Linked DNA regions of Macaca mulatta. The protein of the gene in region 5 purifies or fractionates together with the protein of the main gene of each other region. This does not show direct contact. Links are inferred from orthologs where the notes say so. Each region holds a gene or a part of one and is shown on either strand. Other genes may lie near its edges. The genes, in order: ANAPC7, CDC27, CDC26, ANAPC4 and ANAPC13.

Evidence for each region.
Region 1: the proteins of ANAPC13 (region 5) and ANAPC7 purify together in Homo sapiens (affinity purification with mass spectrometry; 3 studies listed by BioGRID and IntAct, counting the BioPlex papers as one, with this or other methods). This does not show direct contact. The link is inferred for Macaca mulatta from reciprocal best matches to the Homo sapiens genes ANAPC13 and ANAPC7.
Region 2: the proteins of ANAPC13 (region 5) and CDC27 purify together in Homo sapiens (affinity purification with mass spectrometry; 5 studies listed by BioGRID and IntAct, counting the BioPlex papers as one, with this or other methods). This does not show direct contact. The link is inferred for Macaca mulatta from reciprocal best matches to the Homo sapiens genes ANAPC13 and CDC27.
Region 3: the proteins of ANAPC13 (region 5) and CDC26 purify together in Homo sapiens (affinity purification with mass spectrometry; 4 studies listed by BioGRID and IntAct, counting the BioPlex papers as one, with this or other methods). This does not show direct contact. The link is inferred for Macaca mulatta from reciprocal best matches to the Homo sapiens genes ANAPC13 and CDC26.
Region 4: the proteins of ANAPC13 (region 5) and ANAPC4 purify together in Homo sapiens (affinity purification with mass spectrometry; 9 studies listed by BioGRID and IntAct, counting the BioPlex papers as one, with this or other methods). This does not show direct contact. The link is inferred for Macaca mulatta from reciprocal best matches to the Homo sapiens genes ANAPC13 and ANAPC4.

The regions. Positions count from the first base shown.
Region 1 is NC_133416.1:117,544,065-117,547,435, reverse strand, and holds part of ANAPC7 (anaphase-promoting complex subunit 7), read left to right. Parts: intron 1-1,087; coding exon 1,088-1,312; intron 1,313-2,946; coding exon 2,947-3,097; intron 3,098-3,371. UniProt on the Homo sapiens protein: Component of the anaphase promoting complex/cyclosome (APC/C), a cell cycle-regulated E3 ubiquitin ligase that controls progression through mitosis and the G1 phase of the cell cycle.
Region 2 is NC_133421.1:71,468,202-71,472,610, reverse strand, and holds the start of CDC27 (cell division cycle protein 27 homolog), read left to right. Parts: upstream 1-1,278; 5' UTR 1,279-1,401; coding exon 1,402-1,428; intron 1,429-4,409. UniProt on the Homo sapiens protein: Component of the anaphase promoting complex/cyclosome (APC/C), a cell cycle-regulated E3 ubiquitin ligase that controls progression through mitosis and the G1 phase of the cell cycle.
Region 3 is NC_133420.1:45,040,776-45,045,396, forward strand, and holds the start of CDC26 (anaphase-promoting complex subunit CDC26), read left to right. Parts: upstream 1-1,793; coding exon 1,794-1,874; intron 1,875-4,621. UniProt on the Homo sapiens protein: Component of the anaphase promoting complex/cyclosome (APC/C), a cell cycle-regulated E3 ubiquitin ligase that controls progression through mitosis and the G1 phase of the cell cycle.
Region 4 is NC_133410.1:24,394,061-24,398,690, forward strand, and holds the start of ANAPC4 (anaphase-promoting complex subunit 4), read left to right. Parts: upstream 1-1,607; 5' UTR 1,608-1,682; intron 1,683-1,755; 5' UTR 1,756-1,765; coding exon 1,766-1,894; intron 1,895-4,630. UniProt on the Homo sapiens protein: Component of the anaphase promoting complex/cyclosome (APC/C), a cell cycle-regulated E3 ubiquitin ligase that controls progression through mitosis and the G1 phase of the cell cycle.
Region 5 is NC_133407.1:37,526,381-37,530,952, forward strand, and holds the start of ANAPC13 (anaphase-promoting complex subunit 13), read right to left. Parts: upstream 3,150-4,572; 5' UTR 3,115-3,149; exon of another isoform or gene 3,069-3,114; intron 2,669-3,068; exon of another isoform or gene 2,495-2,668; intron 1-2,494. Other genes in the region: CEP63 (centrosomal protein of 63 kDa), read left to right, coding at 3,375-3,650. UniProt on the Homo sapiens protein: Component of the anaphase promoting complex/cyclosome (APC/C), a cell cycle-regulated E3 ubiquitin ligase that controls progression through mitosis and the G1 phase of the cell cycle.

The DNA.
Region 1 (3,371 bases), on a different chromosome or scaffold from region 5:
TTTTGTTTTGATGAGCGCTTTGTGCCAAAAAGTTATTCCTCTGTTCTCCTCAACTTCTTGGCGTGAAGAGTTGAGAGTTGACTCTTCTCAAGGTGGCCTCCTCATAGGACATCTCGCTGTGGGTGTGGAAAGAGGCAAGGGCTGCCAGTTCCAGTCTGTTTGGTGCACCTGATAAAGTATTCTTGATCTAGTTTAGGGAAGCCCTCAGCAAGTGCCTTTTGAGACAGCTGTTATGTTTCAAATAAAAGAGTCTTTCTCCCTAGGTTGCTTGACAATAAGTCCTTTATTTGTCAAACTGGAAATTCACTTAAAGACTCTAGGAGCCAGGCCAGGCACGGTGGCTCATACCTGTAATCCCAGCACTTTGGGAGGCCAAGCTAGGCGGATCACCTGAGGTCAGGAGTTCGCGACCAGCCTGACCAACATGGAGAAACCCCGTCTCTACTAAAAATACAAAACTAGCCGGGCATGGTGGCGCATGCCTGTAATCCCAGCTACCCGGGAGGCTGAGGGAGGAGAATCACTTGAACCCGGGAGGCGGAGGTTGCAGTGAGTGGAGATGGTGCCATTGCACTCCAGCCTGGGCAACAAAAGCGAAACTCCATCTCAAAAAAAAAGACCCTAGGAGCCTTCCATCTTAAACCTAGCCCTGCAGGTGACCGAATGCAGCTGGAGAATAACAGCTTGTTAAGAGGCAGCAAAACCTTGGGTTTTTTTGGGAACATCATCTCTCACTACTTTGATCTCTTGGCCATATGACAAAGTAATCATTAGTGTCACATTTATTCTTCCAGCGGTCAGATGGGGTGCTCACATGCTGTGAGTTCCTTACATGTGCTTGTTTCCTTCCCTAAACTGAAGGTGCCTTTGAAGGCAGTCTTTTTCCACATCCATCAAGTGCTCTGGGGAAGAGCACTTCTTAGCTATTCCATCAACACACTTGCCTGTCTAATCCCACCATCAGTTTCCCCTGGCCTGCCGTTCGTCTGAAACTTTGAAGGTTAGCAATTTGGAGAGCTGTCAGAGTGGAAGCATGGGTTGAAGTGGTAATGGCATTGAATGTCTTAATGTGTTTTACTTTTTTCAGGTCTTATCGAGTGTTACTTAGCCTCCAACAGTATTCGAGAAGCAATGGTAATGGCTAACAACGTTTACAAAACTCTGGGAGCAAATGCACAGACCCTTACCCTTTTAGCCACCGTTTGTCTTGAAGACCCAGTGACACAGGAGAAAGCCAAAACGTTATTAGATAAAGCCCTGACCCAAAGGCCAGATTACATTAAGGCTGTGGTGAAAAAAGCAGAACTGCTTAGTAAGTGTGTGTTATTTTCTGCCCTATTCATCATTAATTTTTATGAAACCTGACCTCATTGGACACCCTTGTCCCAGCTAGTTACAGATGACCAGACAGGTGTGTGTGTTTTGCAGCAGGTCTGAGCCTGCTTGGATTGGTTTATATTTAGCCCAACCAAATGTAGCTGGCTTAGACCTGCTTGGCTTGGCTGTAGCCACCTATAATTGGTTGGTATCTGTTTGGCTCACTTTTTTTTTATTTTTTATTATTATTTTTTTTTTTTTTTGAGACGGAGTCTCACGCTGTTGCCCAGGCTGGAGTGCAGTGGTGCGATCTCGGCTCACTGCAAGCTCCGCCTCCTGGGTTCACGCCATTCTCCTGCCTCAGCCTCCTGAGTAGCTAGGACTACAGGCGCCCGCCACCGCGCCCGGCTAATTTTTTGTATTTTTAGTAGAGACGGGGTTTCACTGTGGTCTCGATCTCCTGACCTTGTGATCCGCCCGCCTCGGCCTCCCAAAGTGCTGGGATTACAGGCTTGAGCCACCGCGCCCGGCCTTTTTTTTTTTTTTTTTTTTTTTTCTTTTTTTTTTTTTTTGAGACGACCTCTCGCTCTATCACCCAGGCTGGAGTGCAGTGGTGCAATCTCAGCCCACAGCAACTTCCGCCTCCCAGGTTCAAGCGATTTTTCTGCCTCAGCCTCCTGAGTAGCTGGGTCTACAGCCATGCACTACCACACCCAGCTAATTTTTTTTCTTTTTTTTTTAGTAGAGACAGGGTTTCACCATATTGGCCAGGCTGGTTTCGAACTCCTGACCTCGTGATCCACCCATCTCGGCCTCCCAAAGTGGTGGGATTACAGGCGTGAGCCGCTGCGTCCAGCCTTGGCTCACTGTTATCTGGTTTGAGTTGTCCTGAATTAGTTTGAGCTGAATCTAACTAACTGGTTTTAGCCAGTTTGAACTGTTTGGTGCTATCTGAATTATTTTATGACTTCTCATTTGGCCCTGTTTTTTTTTTTTTTTCAGTCCTGATTTATGATGAACTCATAGTTTGGTTCATTGAATTTGGGCTAGTTGGCAAATGCAATTTGGCTTTTTAAAGTTAAGAGCCCATTAAGGCCGGGCGCAGTGGCTCAAGCCTGTAATCCCAGCACTTTGGGAGGCCGAGGCGGGCAGATCATGAGGTCAGGAGATCGAGACCATCCTGGCTAACACGGTGAAACCCCGTCTCTACTAAAAATACAAAAAACTAGCCGGGCGCGGTGGCGGGCGCCTGTAGTCCCAGCTACTCGGAGGCTGAGGCAGGAGAATGGCGTAAACCCGGGAGGCGGAGCTTTCAGTGAGCTGAGATCCGGCCACTGCGCTCCAGCCTGGGTGACAGAGCAAGACTCCGTCTCAAAAAAAATAAAATAAAATAAAAAAAATAAAGTTAAGAGCCCATTTAAAACATTGTAATTCAAACTGCAGATTTCTTAACTGAATAGGACATCAGGTGTGCTTGCCCTCGCTTTGTGTTGCACCAGTGTTATCTTGAGGATGTCTGCAAAGAGATTGTCAGAATGGTAGTTGTGTTTTTTTTGTACGTGACTTAAGATGGGAATATATTTTCAAAATGTTCAAGTAGGACAGTGAGGGTCTTTTTTATTCCACCAGGCAGAGAACAGAAATATGAAGATGGAATTGCTTTGCTGAGGAACGCACTGGCTAATCAGAGTGACTGTGTCCTGCATCGGATCCTAGGAGATTTCCTTGTAGCTGTCAATGAGTATCAGGAGGCAATGGACCAGTATAGTATAGCACTAAGGTAGGCACTAGCCTCCCTTGGGGGAAGGCCACTGAGGAGGGTAGAGGAGGCAGTGAGCTGCGTCACAGGAGTTATGGAGTTATGGAAACACACACACACTTTGTGTCCATGGTTGAAAGCAGAATAATAATAGTAATGGTAGAGGAGTTATTTGTGGATTCATGACTTCTAAAAATTTTTCTTAAAATATATTAACAACATTAGAGAACTGTTTCACTCATAACCATCCCACACCACTATAACATCTGTGTTCATTTGTATAGCTCATCTTCTG
Region 2 (4,409 bases), on a different chromosome or scaffold from region 5:
AAAATGGAAGAAAAAATATCTCCCTCCAACATCACCCAAAGGGAAATTTCCAAGCAATGGAATATATCATGAGTCTCACATCTAGCCTAGAGAACTCCTGACTAGAAGAGTAACCTTCAAAAACCGTTTTTCTCTTCTGCTGAAAAACAAAATTTAAACAGTTCCCTAGTTCACTCTCCTTCGGAGGAGAGGAAGAGCAGAAAGGAAATACAAGAGAGTCTACATTGCGTGCTAGACACAGCCACACTTGTAATACATCAAATTCCCTTAATCCTTTTTTTTCAAACTAAGCAAACACAAGTTCAGAGAGGTTGTAATTTGCCAAAGACCTATGACTAGTTAGTGCTAAAGATACAATTCAAAATCAGGCCTCTGAATTTCCTACCCCCTACTCTTCCCACCACAGTGGAATGCCTCGCCTGTCAAAAATAAAAATTTCTAACGGCCTATTGAGTTTTTCCATGATCTCTTCACCTAAGTAACTATTTCCAATTAATGCCTTCTTAGCAGGCTGATCTCATTTTTCCTTCCTTCACTTTCCTATACTTATTTTTCCTCTGATTCTACCCATCCTTCAAACTCCAGTTTAAACTTTTTTTTCCTTCCATAAAACTTTCCTCATCTTAACACAATTTCCCTCTCTGAATTTTTATATTACTTATAATAGGCACCACATAATATAGCGTTCTCTGTTACACTGCTTTTCCCTTAAATAGACCTTAACCTCCTTGAGGACAGAAGCTATCCTAATATCTTTGGAGTGGCAATCTTTCCAAATTTCTTTAGCTTTCCCCAGAGCCGTGAGTAGATACTTCTGGAATGGACGAATGATCTAAACTCAATAGACAAATACTTGTTGATTCATTAAAGTCTGCCCCAAACTCTGCTGTTTCACCCTTTGCTTTATAATCTACAGCACATCAATTAACCCAGAAGGGCTGAGTGGCGAATCCACCCTGCAGCCCCGCCACGTAACGCTCCCGGGCCGCTCAGTCACGCCACGCCCAGCCTGCTGGTTGCCGATTGGGCGTGGCCCAGCCCTGGGACGGCCGATTGGGCGTGGTGTGCGTGACTGAAGGCGTGGCTGAGAAGAAAACCTACGCTTTGGGTTAGACTCGGTAGTTTCCGGGAATCTTCGACAATTTCCGGCAACGATTTTTCTCTCTCGTCGACCCACCTCGGGTATTTCCGACCCCTTTCGGGCTTTTCCGTCTGGCTCCCGCTCGGCTTTCTCCACTTCGGGAATTTCCGTGTCCCGCTCGGAAGCACTCGGCAATCGCTCGGCCTCCCCCATCCCCCGGTAACGGTCGCTGGTGAGTTTAAATGAGCCGGGGCTGGCCGGGCCGGAGCCGCTACCGGGGGGGCCTGAGGCACTGCAGAAAGTGGGCCTAAGCCTCGAGGATGACGGTGCTGCAGGAACCCGTTCAGGTAATGATAACCCTCTTCTCTGAGGCTTGGCTTGCAGCCTCAGTCGGGAAGCAGCGTAGGGCCACTCCGCGGCCTGGTGCGGCCTAGGCCCGGCTGCTTCTACCGCCTCCCTTGCTGCCGAGTCCTGCCTATCTTCCGTCAGTTCGGAGGCCTTGCCCGCAGCCTAAGCCGTGTTACCTCTGGCCCTACGTTACTTCACCCTTAGTGTGAGCGGCTTCGGCGAGAATAACCGTCTTTCCCGTCCGAGCCAACGTCCGGCCAGCCCTTCCTGTCAGCCCAGGGGCCTGGCTTGACTGGGGTTGGGAGATGAGGGGCCGAAAACGCACCCCAGGCGCTCTCTTGCCTAAAAGATGATCGAGAAGCACATTTGATCGGAGCTTGTATGATCTTCGCGATGGTAGGGCAAGTTTGCGGAGGTTTTTTTATTTTTGTCTTATGTGAGAGAGTGGAGGGAGAGTAGGATCGGTATCTTTAATACTAATTTCTATTTTGGTAACAGACTTCCTCTCCCACGTTTCCTTTCTCGGTGAATTTCCCACCGGACAATGATGGTTTGAGAAGACAACTCCAAGCCTCAGTGCTGAGGTGCAAGCACCAATACCAGGGGAGGAGGTGGAAAGGGCATATCTGGGTTGTTTTCATCCTCTCTGATGGGGATCAGGAGCATTTTGTTGTGCATGTTTATAAGGCATTCAGGAAATGAAAGACAAATAGTGGTGTTTGTGTCTGTTTCACTGCCCTTACACCAAGGTATGCTTTGACGCACAGTGCTGTGTTGCATTAAAGGAACCCTATTGGATTTTAAGTCTGTGATGCAGTGCCAAGTCATTTTCCCCTCTGACATCTGGAGAAACTGAATCTTTTGTGCCTTGGTAATGGACCAGGTCTGGGAGACTTCCTCCCACCATGTGATCTTTGACTTGATCAGAATTGACTTCTATCAACCACTGTCATTGAGTCTTGGACTTTATTTTGAAGTTATAAAGCAAACCGATTTTTAGAAATTCCTTCATATTGCCCTTAAAAGGCTTGAGGTATCAAATAGTAAATATTTTATTATGTCACTGCTTTCATATTTATTTCATTTTTCTAAACAGCATGAAATACTCATTTCTTCTAGTTTGGCTTCTTCTCCAGCTGTTTACATATAGCAGCTATTAGTGTTTGAATTAATAAAACGTTAAGATTGTATCTTATGAAATTTTCCTGTCTGTAAGTTGTATCGGTTTTTCTAGAGCTATTTCTTTTTACCAGCATAGTTTCTTTTAAGGTTTTTTTTTTATTCTGGCTGTAGATGAGGTAATTATATAATTTTTTAAGGCCTAACATGAACTTAAATAGATAAGCAGATTACTCAAGTTATTTAATTTCTGTTGCATATTCTTGTAATTTTGTTTTAATAATGATTTTTTTTTTTTTTTTTTTGCCTTCTCTGGCCCCAGAAGTCTTCTAAAGTGATAAACTAGTTGCACTGATAGACGATAACCACCATTTAATAATAATTTCAGACTTTATAAAAGCATGGAAGGCCGGGCGCGGTGGTTTACACCTGTAATCCCAACGTTTTGGGAGGCCGAGGTGGGTGGATCACCTGAGGTCAGGAGTTCAAGACCTGCCTGGCCAACACGGGGAAACCCCGTCTCTACTAAAAATATTAAAAAATGAGCCGGGCGTGGTGGTGGGCGCCTGTAATCCCAGCTACTCGGCAGGCTGAGGCAGGAGAATTGCCTGAACCCAGGAGATGGAGGTTGCAGTGAGCTGACATGGTCCCGCTTCTCTCCAGCCTGGGTGACAGAGTGAGACTCCGTCTCAAAATAAATAAATAAATAAATAAATAAATAATAAAAGCATGGAAAAGAAAAGGAATATGTATCCTATTTCTAGATAGTACCCATTAGGTTTCCTATTTGCCCTTAAAGTACTCTTAGCAGTAACACACTTCAATATTTTTAAGGCTTAAATGTCAAATTTGCTTCTTTTTCATACTAGCATTGTCCATTAGATTTTTGAGATAGTGGTAGAAAGTTTTAGGATATAACTAGGTAAAAATTTTGGTTGTATAGTATAAGAAGAAGCCATTCAAGAAGGGATTTGGAGCAGTGAGAAGAACAAGCAACTTTAACTACAATGATAAAGATCAATGATCAGGGATAGTGCTGCAAATGGGAAAGAATTAGGAAGAGAATAAAAATAGGACAGACACATAAGATACTGTCTTTATTTAAAAAAAAACAAAAACAAAAAACTATGATGACTGATTGCATGTATTTGGAAAGCAGTGAGAGTAAGTTGGAAAATTGTTCTTTCTTGGAATGCCTCAGAGTTGATGGTATTACTAGGCATAGGAAGAAGTTCACAGAAAAGATGAACAACTGTTTTCTGCATTTTTTTTTCTTTAAAGTTTTAACGTAGAATGGCCAGGCTGATATACCATATATGCCTAAATTAAAACTCCATCTCAAATTACCACTTCTCAGAAGAGTATTACTTTATATTTGAGTCCTTATAAAAGTCTCAAATATGAGGCAGAAGTTCTGTCAGTTCCTTTATTTTTAATAGTAACTATTTGGAAAGACACACTAGGCTAAGTGACTTCAGTGAGAGCTTTTTGGAAAAGTCATCTGATGAAATTGGTTTTTTAAAAAGAAGCAAAGAGATTTTATATAGATTTAGCAATTATTCCCGGGTGAAGCAAGACTTCACAGGAGTGTTGGATGAAGTTGTAAATAAGCCTTTCAAAAATTGATTTAATAAGCAATATAGCAATTGGGTACCATATACATGATATTATTTTAGAGATCATTAGATGGTGAAGAAGTACTTTTGGCTGGGGATAAAATGTTCAGGGACAGCATTTAACATGGATTCACGGGGAGGGGGGAGTGGGGAGGGATTGCATTGGGAGTTATACCTGATGTAAATGACGAGTTGATGGGTGCAGCACGCCAACATGGCACAGGTATACATATGTAACAAACCTG
Region 3 (4,621 bases), on a different chromosome or scaffold from region 5:
TATACTTCACAGTCCCTAGTTTCATCCTAGATACATGTAATAATTTGTATCTCTATATACTTTCAAGGAGTTTTCACTTCCATCATTCTCACTTAATCCTTATCATGTTGACCTGTATAATTTTTATAGGAGGCTAAAATTATTAACCAAACTGAACAGCTTGCTTCGATGACTTCTTTATGTGTGAAATAGGAATCATTTTGTCAACTTCACAGGTTTTTGTGTTAAGAATGTAAAGAATGGGAATGGAAAAAGAGCACAGTGCTCAAGAATGATCTCACCTTTTATTCAACAAACATTTACTGACTGTTTTTATAGATACACTCTAGGGGATGCTGTGGAGAATATACAAATGATGCCATCAACAGATATTAAACTCAATTGGGGGAGTTGTGTTTTCTCAAAAACAAAACAAAACAAAACAAAATGGTTTTTGTTAACACAGTATTACCTCGGGATTTCAGGCTGTGGAATGCTCTTTTGAACCTCTTTTCTTCTTCTTCTTTTTTTTTTTTTTTTCTGAGTTGGGGTCTTATGGTGAGATCATGGCTCACTGTGGCCACCTCAAACTCCTGGGCTCAAGTGATCCTTCCATCTCAGCCTCCTGAGTAGCTAGGACTACAGGTACACACTACCAGCCTAGCTAATTTTTTTACTTTTTTGTAGAGACAGGGTCTTGCTATGTTGCCAAAGCTGGTCTTGAGCCTCCTTGTGCACTCTTCTCTCTGCCTGCCCTTCAGAAGTCAACTAAGATATCATTTTCTCCAGGAAGGCTTGCCTGACATCCTTGTCCACCCCACACTCAGCCCAGACTGGATTAGGTGCCTGTGTGATGCCAGTGCCAGTATCCTCATTAGGGTTCTCGTTATATGATATCACAGTTTTCTTTATTTTCCCCACAGATTATGACTGTACCTTTTAATTCTGTAGCTGGAGCACAAGAAGTGTTTGTTTAATGAATGACGTACACACATTTAGGATCTGTTTGGACGCTGAGGATAATCCTGTGAATTGGTGAGTTGGAGTCTTCATGAGATTTAGCAAACTGATTTTAGCATTCAGGAGTGATCACAAATCTCTGACAGTTCTCACGTAGAGTAGATTAAATTCACTGGTTTGTCCACTTTCCCCTCTAACTATACTGAGATGTGATAGTTTATTCTTTTAGCTAGAGTATTTCTTTGAATGTGACTAGAACATGAGATTAAAGTGATAGTTTGCTATTTTAAATTCTTACTGAAAGAGTTTTTGATTTTACAGAGCTGTAGATCTCCATAATGTAATAAAAATGTAATAATCATATACCTAAAGACTTTAGAAGTTGGCTGGGTATAGTAGCTCTTGCCTATAATGCCAGTACTTTGGGAAAATGAGGAGGGAGGAACACTTGAGCCCAAGAGTTTGAGACCAGCCTGGGCATCAGAGAGAGATCCCATTTCTACAAAAAACACAAAAATTAGCCAGATATGGTGGTGTACACCTGTAGTCCCAGCTACTCTAGAGGCTGAGGCAGTAAGATTGCTTGAGCCCAGGAAGTTGAGGCTGTAGTGAGCTAAGGTCATGCTACTGTGCTCCAGCCTGGGCAAAGAGCAAGATCCCATCTCTTAAAAAGACTTTAGAAGTCTGTGTGAATTCAAATAAAGTTTTAATACTTCCATTCACTTTAGTACACAGGCTTGCAAACTGATTTTATGTTTTGTATCTGAGACTTTATTACCTTCAGTTTTTCCTCCTCTCTTTCATTTTTATCAGCTAATAGTTCACTGGGTTTGGCCCTTAGTGTTGACTTCAGTATGCTGAGACGAAAACCAACACGCCTAGAGCTAAAGCTTGATGACATTGAAGAGTTTGAGAGCATTCGAAAGGACCTGGAGGTATGAATACAACTTTGTGTTTTTTTGAGATGGAGTCTCGCTGTGTCACACAGGCTGGAGTATAGTGGCATGATCCTTGGCTCACTGCAACCTCTGCCTCAGCCTCCCAAGTAGCTGGGACTATAGGTACATGCCAGCATGCCCGGGTCATTTTTGTGTTTTTAGTAGAGACGGGATTTTGCCATGTTGGGGCCAGGCTGGTCTCCAACTCCTGACCTCAAGTGATCCATCCGCCTCAGCCTCCCAAAGTGCTGGGATTACACATGTGACCCACTGCACCCAGCCAGTGATTGATTGCAGAAATCATGTCTGTTTGCATCACCATTTCCTACCATCTAGCTCATGGTAGGAGCCCCATATGTATTTTTAAGTGTGGCCTTGCTACATGGTATTAGATGTCCATTAATAAGACTTAAATTATTCAGTGGTCTACAGAATAAATTCCAAATTCCCTAGCATGGCATATGAGGTCCTTTGTGAGCTGGTCCTTGCTTATCTCTCCACTTTCACTGCTGGGTTATCTTTAATCTCAATGCCTATACACAAGTGTTCCCTTTGCCAGAAAAGTCCTTTATTTTTCTTTGCCAGGCTAACTCTTACTTCTTCCAGCCCCCAGCTGGGTTAGGCTCAACCTCATCCTCCTGTGCTAACCTCTCTCATAAGCACTGTTAGTCTCTGTTGTAATTGTCTGTTTGCTTTTGTTTTCCCTCACTGGGCCATAAGCTCCTTGAAGTCAGGGATTAGTATATTTCTGTCTGCATCTGTTCCCTGCAATACCAGGCCCAAAGGAGGGCTCAATACAAGTCTATTTTCATTTGCTGTCCTAGCAGATATCTTGTACTATATGGCAGAGGACAGTACATTTTGCATGTATTTACCAACAGCTTTATTATGGATTGTATATGCTTCATATTAAGACTAATAACTTAGATTTCTTCCCCCTGCTTCATCCCAAGACACTTTAGTGTTCTCGAAGCATCATAATTTCTGCTTTTAAAAAACTCATATATTATTAAGGATGAGCTTTAAAGTATGGCTTAAACTTCAGTTGTTACAAATCTCATAAAATGCTAGCATGCCGAACTTTGACTCTACAGAGTCAGCTCACTATTGAGTTAGTCTTTTCACCAAAGGCAGTTATCTAGTGGGTTTTGCCCTGTTTTAGAGTAACTTAGGAAGCAGGGACAGTCATGCCCTAAAGTGAAACCAGTAGAAAACTGGCCTGTTTCATTTATTACCAACATGAGTTTGATTATCTACTGTGACTCTAGCTTCTGAAACAGCAGTTGCTCAAAGTGGGAACCCTTTTAAGTGATTTCATTCCACTTGGATATTCTCAGAATGATAGAGTTGTTTGCCTTTTAGAACTTGTTTTCACAAAGATATTTAGGTAGAACTTTCTAACATCACTTACTAGTAATCAGGAAGGTCATTTGCCACATAAAAGGCAATACCTTATTTTATTCACTGTAATACTTTGTGAGTGTTGGCATTTATTTTATTTTTTATTTTTATTTTTGAGACAGGGTCTTGCTCTGTCGCCCTGCTGGTGTACAGTGGCATGATCACCACTCACTGCAGCCTCTACCTGCCAGGCTCCAGTGATCCTACCACGTCCGGCCCCCTGAATAACTGGGAATACAGGCATGTGCCACTATGCCTGGCTAATTTTTAAATTTTTTGTGGGCCGGGTGTGGTGGCTCACGCCTGTAATCCCAGCACTTTGGGAGGCCGAGGCAGGCGGATCACGAGGTCAAGAGACCATCCTAGCTAACATGTTGAAACCCCATCTCTACTAAAAATACAAACATTAGCTGGGTGTGGTGGCATGCACCTGTAGTCCCAACTACTTGGGAAGCCGAGGGCAGGAGAATCGCTTGAACCTGGGAGGTGGAGGTTGCAGTGAGCCGAGATGGCGCCACTGCACTCCAGCCTGGTGACAGACCGAGACTTGGTCTGAAGAAAAAAAAAAAATTTGTGGGGACAGATGGAGTCTCACTATGTTGCCCAGGCTAGTGTCAAACTCCTGGGCTCAAGCAGTCCTCCCAAAGCAGTGGGATTTACAGGCATGAGCCACTGCGGTCAGCCCGATGCTTGGCATTTAAATGCCCACAGTCCAGCAGCAAGTGGTGAAGAATGGTGGTAATTCCAGTGATTTGAGTAGCTGAGCCATTCTATTATTATTAAGGAATTTTGGATAAAACATCATTTCACTCTCTTAGAGAAAGTTATCATCTGTTGTCCTTACAGTCAGGTAGTGGCAGTTACGGGATAAGTGTTTCTTTTTGAAAATGATCAAACTGAGACATACTTTGTGGATTCTGCAGTCACATGTGACTTAAGAACCAAACCTTTTATCTGAAAACAAAATGAAGCCACAAAACCCAGACCTTTTGATAAGATAGCATAAAACCTTCTCATGTTACTTTTAATCTCATGGGATCAGTTAGGCTATAGATTTTTGGTGGTTATTTCTTTACCAGTCAATTTATTTTTCTGTCTATTCTCTAGAATAATAAATTTGTTGAAATACCCTTTGCTCCCCCTTGTCTGCTCTTACATCTTTCCAGTTGTAGCTTCCTGTTGTACCACCACACCCCAACTCCTTACCTCGTCTCTTTGGCAGTGTTGACTTCCCTCTGTCATAGGTCATAGCCCGGATCACCCTATAATCGTCTCTTTGGCTGTTTACCTATTAGACTGTGACATCCTGGAGGGCAGGGGTTACATCTTTTTTTTTTTGAGAT
Region 4 (4,630 bases), on a different chromosome or scaffold from region 5:
TACTCAGTCCTTTGCAGTACGGTGTTTATGCCTCTGGGAACAGTCATTTTCACGTGCTGTGTGGGTGTTTGTATTCAGGTAAATTCCAGGAAAATGGACACTCAATTTCCATTAGAATATCAAGTGCATAGATACTGGACCCCCACCAGGTGATCCATTATAACCGCCCCAAAACATTAACACCTGAAAATGCGTTTTGTGAAAAACAAAGGCGGATGCATTTTTACCTTAGAAATGTTGATTCTGGAAGAGTTGGGGGCACATGCTAAGTTGTCTGCGGCAAAGGCAAGGGTTGCAAAGCCCCTGAAAGGAAACAGGGTAGGTATAAAGTCAAAGGCTAAGAACAGTACTTGGCACAAAATAGTTACTTGATGCTGAATGAATTAGTCTCCCTCCGTCATCTACTTCCCAGGGGCTAGATCCAGACAAAGGTCTAGAAGATGGGGCCTGTTCAAAGTTAAAGGTCCTGCGGTCTCTTTCTTCTTTGAACAAGTCAAAGGTAGTGAAAAGTAGACTTTCTACCAGAGGGTTTAAGAACCCTAGGATGACACTGTCACATTCTCTTAGGGAGGTCATAGCTGTGGGAACTGTGAACATGTTGACTCATTTAAATGTGTCCTACATAAAGCAACATCAGATGAATTCTGATGTACAAGTCTGCCAGGCTGACCCGTGAGCCTCTGGGCAGAGTTCCTGTCCCATGCATTCGTGTAGCCTCAGTTCCCCCACATAGTAAATGCCAAGAAGAAATCGTGTATGAGCCTACACTCTCTTCGTTATGATGGGTCTGCAACTATCAATATGTTTTGAGGGTTAAATGGGATGAGGTGTCACAGTATTATTTTCCTGTTAGGGAGGTTTTAGGCAGGCGCCTCTTCTCTCTTCAAACTGGAATCACCCGAAGAGTTTTAGTAAATACTGGGCCCATCCAGGGTTAATTTTCTTCTAATTGGTTTGGGGTGCTGCTTGGAGAGGGGGACTTTTAAAATTCTATACTGACCCACCAGGAATGACATGAGAACTACTTGCTTAGTAACTGTCAGAGGAGGCTCCAGCTGATCAGGACCTAAAGTTCATATTCTTTATCATCTCCCCGTTGTTGCTGAAGCCTCCCCATAAACCCCTAACGTCCCGTCGTCCACAGCAGCGAATTTCCGGGAAAACGGGAAACCTATGCAAGCATGCCCACACACGTGCACAAACGCGTTCCCAAAAGCCCCGCGTGCGGCCCCAGGGGCCCGCCCCGCCCTTCTCGGGCCCTTCTGGGTCCCCGCGCCCAGCGATCCCACCCGCACCTGGGTCTGGGGCTCCGCTCCCTCCCTCTCCGCGGCACTCGGGCTTCCCTGCCCCGCCCACGTGCCCCACCCTCCCTCGCTCCGCCCCTCGCTGCTCCCTGCCCCGCCCACGGGCCCCATCCTATCCCCACCTCGCTCCGCCCCTCGCTGCTCCCTGCCTCGCCCACAGCGCCCGGTCCCCGTCCGCCGGGTCTGGCTCTCAGCCCCGCCAAGCCCGGTGCGCGCCCCGCCCCGCCTCCTCCTCTCGCGAGGCAGTCTCGACGCCGGAAGTGCCTGGAGCGCGCGACAGCGGCGAGGCGGGGCGGTCTGGAAGCTGTGGCGCCCGGCCGGCAGAGGGAGGGGTGAGGTCGCTGGGGCTGTGTTAGTCACCGGTGGGGACTCTTTCAGGTACAGCCGCGGTCGGGGCTCCTCGTGGAGGGCCGGGAGCTTCTGCCGGCCTCTTACTGGGGTGTCGTTGCAGGGCCGTCCCCATGTTGCGTTTTCCGACCTGTTTCCCGTCCTTCCGGGTGGTGGGAGAGAAGCAGCTCCCGCAGGAGATTATTTTCCTGGTCTGGTCGCCCAAGCGGGATCTCATTGCTTTGGCCAACACAGCGGGCGAGGTGAGTGAGCCGGCGGGAGCCCGCGTGTGTTGGGTCTGCTCCCGGGGTCCCAAGAACACCGAGCCCGAGCCTGTTCTTTCGGGCCATAGGCGGCCGTAGTCTCAGTTTCCCCTTCTGCAGACATGGTGGGCCACCTGCTACCCTTGCCTCCCAGGACGGCAGCAAACTTTAAGTATGTATGCGAAAGGTGATGTCTGTGCTATTTTCGGTACTTTCATGGCTAAAGTAACATTTTTCACACAGCTTAACACCGTCACGCAATCCTGCTTCCCCAAGTCGTCTTCAGTCATTGGTTTATTAATTAAATGAACTTTTAAAAAAGCGCACGATGTGCCACTCATGAGCTAGACATAGTGGTAGATCCAGGGACCCTGCCCTAAGTTTGCTTACAGTTTTAATGGCAGAAGGAAGAGTTATTATCAAACTTCAGCTGCAGAAGTGCATGCATGTAGCTGCCACAGAGGATATATTTAAGAATCTGGCTTCTCTTGTCCACGTTTTATACTACGGGTTGGATAACCACCACTAAAAATACCTTTAAATTGGACAAGGAAGGGATGCATTGGATTCCAGAGAGAACGTGCATGAATGTTATCACCATGTCTTGTTCACATTAAATTTCATCGAGTATAAGCCAGTTGTACCCAACTTTCTGCTGAGAGTTACTACCTGCCAGCCATTTTGTAAGGAAACCTTCACCTGTGCATCTTTCCGCCTCTGGCTTGAGAGTTATCTGGCCAGGTGAGAGTTGTATAGAGTCAAATTTGGAAACTAGGTGATAAGGAAATCGTAGCACCCTGCAGACTACAGCACCATGTTATCTGCCATGATCCAGTCGCCGGGGTATTGATGTCTCATTTTTCAGGGCCCTCCATGAAATCTAGTCTCCCTCCACTGCCGGGATGCTTTGAAACTCTGTTGTGGCTCTAGAGAGCAGCAGGTGATACAGCCACAGAAGTAGGAGGGAAGGTAGACAGGAGGCACATCCGTGCAATCAGATGGGTAGGTGTGATAGAGGGCACTATTATATCCATTTTCTCAGTGAAGGAAGAAGCAAGGGTATTGTCTATGGGTGAAGATGGAGAAGAATATATTGGAAGTTTGAGAAAGAAGAGGTATGAAAAAGCTAACAAGGCAGGTGGACTTAGGAAGCCTAATAGGATTGCCTGTCAGTGTTACGAGCCACACAAGATCGGTGTTGTTATTTGAGAGACACTGGTTGAATGAGGTTGTATGTGTCTCTCTCCGTTCTGTTTGGCTGTGTGGGTGCAGGCATCGTTGGGTTTAACCAGGATTGTTGTTTTGCAAGTATGACAAAGCAAGAGAAAGATGAAAGAGAGTTGAAGTTATGTGCAAGGGGAGTGATTGTGTTTCTGAACTTTGGGTTCTAACTTGATGAAGGAGGGAAGCGAAGGCAGGGGAGAGGGACAGTAAATAGGTGGTAGAATCAATAGACTGTATCCTGGTGAGGTCAAAGAATTGGAGTTGAGTATTGTAGAGATGAGCTGTAAAGAGGGGCGGTGGATGGAAAGTGGGAAGTGTGAAATGGAGATTTTGGTGGCCCTGCAGTTGCTGGTAATGACCAGGCCAGGGGTATGACCCTGAGAGTGGCTGAGTGCAGTAGAAGATGTGATCACTGGAGGAGAGGCAATTGAGAGCTAGGGCATCATAGCTCTTGAAATCACCAAAAATGAGGATGAGTGTGTTGCTGAAAGCATAAGGGAGCCAGGTATCCAGATTTTCGAGGAATGAGGGGAATGGCCTAGGGGTCTGTAGAGGACTGCAATTAGAGGGATAGCGGTCGTATGGTGTGATTACATGTGATTCAAAGTTAGGAGATTTTCAAGAAGAGAAGAAATGGCATCAGGCATCAAGGAAGACACCTACTTCATCTCCTGCCCAAGAGTAGCAGTACTAAGGGCTGTGGGATACAAAATGGCCACCACCTAGCAAGGCTGCAGGGAAGCATTGTCCTCAGGTGAGAGGCACATTTCAGAGAAAAGTATGAAGATATTAATTTCATGATGACACCTGACCGTGAGCTATAGAAAGCACAGAGGAAGGGTTTCAGAAGTAAGGAATGGCAGGAATGGTTTCAGAAAAGAGAGGGTCAAGTCCAGGAGATGATGTAACCCGGAGTGAAGGGTGCTGTGATCTGTGAGATAAGGCAGGGTCATGGTGGTGAAGCTGAGTGTGGAGATGGGGAGGGGTCTTGGAGGAGCATGTGCATTTTGTGAAGCCTTTTCTTCCTTACTGTCAGTGGTTGTATAGAAGCTGCTACAGGGGCAGTCATAGAGCTCTTGGGCAACATTTTGATCTTCCAAGGTGGGAATTTACTGGTGTGGAAATGGAGATTTAGAATGGTTAAGTGATTTGTCTAAGATCCATGGCTAGTGAGTGACACAGCTGAAATTAGGTGCCACGTGGACTAATTCCAAGCTTCGTATAATTTGACTATATTACAGCTAGCTACCTTTTTAGTGGTGTTTGTGTTCTTTTATTTCTTTTTTTGGTTGTCACCTTGGACAGCCTTCTTTATAAAAGGTAAGTCTCCCGTTGACATAAAAGATTAGGTACAGGGCCAGGCACAGTGGCTAACATCTGTAATCCCAGCACTTTGGGAGGCCGAGGCAGGTGGATCACCTGAGGTCAGGAGTTCAAGACTAGCCTGGCCAACATAGAGAAACCCCATCTCTACTAAAAATAAAATATTAGCCGGGTGTGGTGGCATATGCA
Region 5 (4,572 bases):
GTAAAGGAAATGGCTTCCTTCCCTAAAATAGTACCCAGGCTGCGATCTGAACAAAGCACTTCTAGGTGAACACCAGTGGTAGAACCTCATACTGCTGGTTTCTCCAGTTTCTGCTTCCCTTTGGGATAGCTCCTTCCTTGGAGGTTCCTTCCTCTAATTCTTAATGCTGCACTCCCTTTAATTTCTGGCCCAAATGGCCAGGATACTTATTTAGCTCCTTGACCATGGCTGATTCCCCATTTTTCTCTGAAGCTGCAATAAAAACCCCAACAAATGACCAATTCACACCCTACCAGCAATTTTCTTAAAATGGTAAGTCATGGGCCACACTTAGTGTAGGATCTGGGACCATTTACTTGTATTTTAAATTTAAATGTATTACTACTGAACTCTGCTTTGTACCAGAGTTCACAGATACCAATATATTTCTTTTCAATTACCTTAATTTATGTTTTGCTTTATGCTTAGCAAACTGTTATGCAATATCCAGACTTAAAATTTTCCGCTGGATTCTAATTCGTAGTATGTGAACGTGTTTTCCCCTCTAAAATTATGCTCAATATATATTAAATGATATTTACTTATCTATATTTGAATCACATACATCTTGTTCTACAAGACAGATTCAAACATACTTGAACAGATTGAAAAGAGCTATCATTTATTGTAAAGCAATAATATATTATCTTAAACTTAAAAACAAAGTTCAGTCTTAATAATTACTTATAGATAACAAAGAATAAATAGGTCCTTAGTTAATGAATTATTTAATTCAGAAGTAGACAACCTTGCTTAATTTCATCCTATCTGTGGTATGCTTTCTAATCCAAAAGGCTGGCTAGCTTGGAGGATACTTTTGGATTCCCTGTTTCCAAGGTTGGGCCCTGATTCATCATAGGCGTCATCCTATGGGTGCTCCCTGTTACAAAGTCACAATCCAAAAAGCCCAGAAGCCACTGGCATCAAAGGTACTCTCAGTTATTCTGTTTCTGAGACTATGGAGACTCACACAATAAGCAATTTTGGCGGGGGCGGGGTGGAACCCACCATCTTGAGGTGCTTTTTTCAGAGCTCAGCCTGGGTGCTATTTTAAGGAAGGAAGCCTTTTCCTTTACAAGGTCAACTTCAGACATCGTCTTGCCTTGAGGATTTGTGTCAGGTCTGTAGTTGGTCCCTTCCCATAGTCCATTTTAGTGTTATCTCAGTATGTTCATGAGCTCCTGTGCCTAAGAATGCTGAGGTTTGGGCCAAGGCAGGTGGAAGTTTTTGTAAAAATGGCTCACATGGCCGGGCGCGGTGGCTCACGCCTGTAATCCCAGCACTTTGGGAGGCCGAGGTGGGCGGATCACGAGGTCAGGAGATCGAGACTATCCTGGCTAACACGGTGAAACCCCGTCTCTACTAAAAACACAAAAAATTAGCCGGGCGTGGTGGCAGGCACCTGTAGTGCCAGCTATTCGGGAGGCTGAGGCAGGAGAATGGCATGAACCCGGGAGGCGGAGCTTGCAATGAGCCGAGATCTGGCCACTGCACTCCAGCCTGGGTGACAGAGCAAGACTCCGTCTCAAAAAAAAAAAAAAAAAAAAAAAGACTTGGTCTCAAAAAAAAAAAAAAAAAAAAAAAAAGGCTCACAGATGTCCCCCATAGGATAACTGCAAGATATCCCCAACACCTTGGCAAAAATTATACACAGATTGGTGTGTAGGAAAGGGTTTAAAAGATCTGGGCAAAACTTAAGCAAAACGCGCCCTGCTACTTCTGTCACCGGTGAGCCAGGTGAGGGCTTAATTAATCCAGTACTCAATAATTAACCCCCTACTACCCAGTGGATAACTCAAAGCAAGACGAAGTTTTGGTTATACTTTTGAAGTCCCTGTCTTATAAGAGCTCCCCACTTTCCTGCTGCTACTCCTTTGTCCTTGCTGCTGTGTCTCCTGGGATACCCTTTTCACTTTCCTCAGCTGATCCAAACCTGACTTTCCCAGGCCCACATAGGTTTTCCACCTTTTAGTAAGGTTTTCTCAGATCACTCGAGCTTCAGTAGGCCTTCTATCCTTGAACTCTTGCTTCTTGTCCTAACTTAAATCTACTAAACAAGCTTTGTGATCAATTGCTCAGGTATTATTGTCTCCAACTGTTATGTGTACATTTTGTACCCAGGATTCCTTAGTAGATCTTTCTACAATTTGGCCTCAATCTTTTTCACCTGTCCCTTCTCCAAACACCTCAAACCCTGTCACATTTTCCAGCCTTGACAGTTAAAACCCCCCTTTCCACATCACTAATGCCACTCTTCCTTTCAAGATCAACGCAGGCGTCAGCTCTTGGAGGTCAACATCCCATTTCCGGGGTTAGGCGTGAAGGTGCCTTCACTCTTAAGGGGCTGGAAGGATGGAAAGCAACAAGATAATCTAATCAATGCCCAAGGCACAGCCACCGTCCCAAATACTCGTCACACAATACGACCACTGTTTCCTGAACAAACTTTTCTTACACGTGACAGTCCCGATGCCTGCAATGCTGTTTGTTTCTTCCTTTTTATTCCAGCGAACCCATAGTCAGTCTAAAAATCTCAGGTCTCAAGTCGCTTCCTGTAGGAGGCCGCCTCCAAACCTCAGGCTGAGCGCGGTCCCAGTACCCACCGGGGATCTCATAGTTCCCTAAGCACAGAGCATGGCACCAACTAGGTAGCCTGTCAAACAGCCCAGATGTATGTCTTTCCAGACACGCAGTGCCTGCGTTTCCCGGGACAGGGACATGTCTTATCCATTTCTATACATTATAGCTTTGTAAACATGTATCTGTAAGGTCAAAGCGGGAAAATATTGTTCCTTGCTAGAAATGAGCCTCGCAGGCCACCACACTGTACGAGAGGCCGCCCCTCAGCCGCGGCTTCCGGCCTGACGCAGGATGTACCAAACGTGGAAGCGGAGACGGGGAGGTCTGGGGTGCCAAGCAAGTCCCTTTCCTCCCGACACAGCGTGCAGTAAAGAAAACGGTTATGAGCGTAAAGTGACAGCCTCGGCCGATGGAAATAGGGGGAAGTCCGACACTGAGCCACGAACGCATTCCCGCGCCTCCAAAACCTAGGCCGGGGGCGCTGCAAACCCTTACCGTTACGCGGCCCAGCGCGGCAGACGCTTCCTCCTGCCACGCCCCGCATCACGTGTCTGCACGCTCTTTCTCGGATTCCCGGATGTGGGTGAGTCCATTTGCTCGCGTGCAGGGGAAGTCTGGAGAAGACATTGATTCAATTATTAAAAGTGTGGGGGCAGTGGGCGGAACGAACGCTCCGACTGCTGAGGCTGGACGTAAGCTTAGTGGTGGCGCGCGTGCGCAGTGCACGCCCGAGGTAACGGCGGGAAGGCTGAGGGATGCGCTTGCTGCAGCCGTGTAACCGCCCGTGCGCAAGACGGAAGCGCAAGGGGCGAGCGCGTCCTGGTCCGGAGGCGGCCCAGGCTGCCTTGGTGACTCTGGCTTCGCGGCCTCATGGCTTGCGGCCGGTTCGCGCAACAGTCTGCGAACCACCAGGCGCCTCCCCGCCGGCTCGCGTCCGCCCCGGAGCCCCGTCCCTCGGCCTGGCCCGCTATGCCCTGCACACCGGCGTAGTCCGGCATGGCGCAGCCCGGCGCGCGGTTCGGCCCCGCCAGGTGGTCACAGCGTTTCCTCGGAGGCCGGGTGGCTGGGGGCGCTTCGGAGAGTAGCCAGGTGGGCGGGCGAGCTGCGCCCAGTACTCACCTTTCCCGGCGGACCCACCTTTCTTTTCAGCGGAGGGACCCCTGTGCGGCCTCCCGGCCAGGGCTGCTGTTTAGCTAGCGCTGTTAGGACTACTTCATTCACGGCACAAGGGGACCCGCTCATTTAGGGTGGCATGTTAAGGTTGGCAGCTTTTAAAATAGTGAGTTGGTGTAAACGGTTATGTTTAGTACAGCAGGTACGGAAATATGGCAGAAATCGTGGACTGAAATTGGAGAACCCTGAACTAACTGCTCCATGCACACAGATCAGGGATAGAAAGAAACAAGGACGGTTTCTTAGGAACACTTTAATCATGGAGATACTTGAAGACAGTACATTTAGGCTTATAATGTGGTTTTTTTTATGTCGTATACGACATCAGGAGAGTAAAGATGTGTATGATGTCAGAGACTAGTCATCTTGTATAGTTTAAGCACCGTACACTAATATGCACAAAGTAGTTTTCCCTGAGCTTTATGTCCGGTTAAACTTATTAAAAGAATTTATTCTTTTATAAAGCAGTATTGTAGGGTAGATGCTCTGTATTTATACAGTTCCTCACGTGCTTGCGTTTATTTTTTAGGTAAGAGAAAATCATAAGGATCGTTGATTAGATTTCTGTTAGCTGTAGCTTAATAGTAAAACAAAGTATATATATTTTCTTATTTGGAATGCAGTACTATTTTTAGATTAATTTTTGAGATTGCCTTTTGACTGTGGCATGATCAGTGATCAGGGTAGTAAAAAAGGCTCTGAAACTAAAATGGGGTAGAGATTTATAAACAGGCACACTGCCTTTTAAAATGTATGTAGATGCAACTCTAAAAGTTGTTT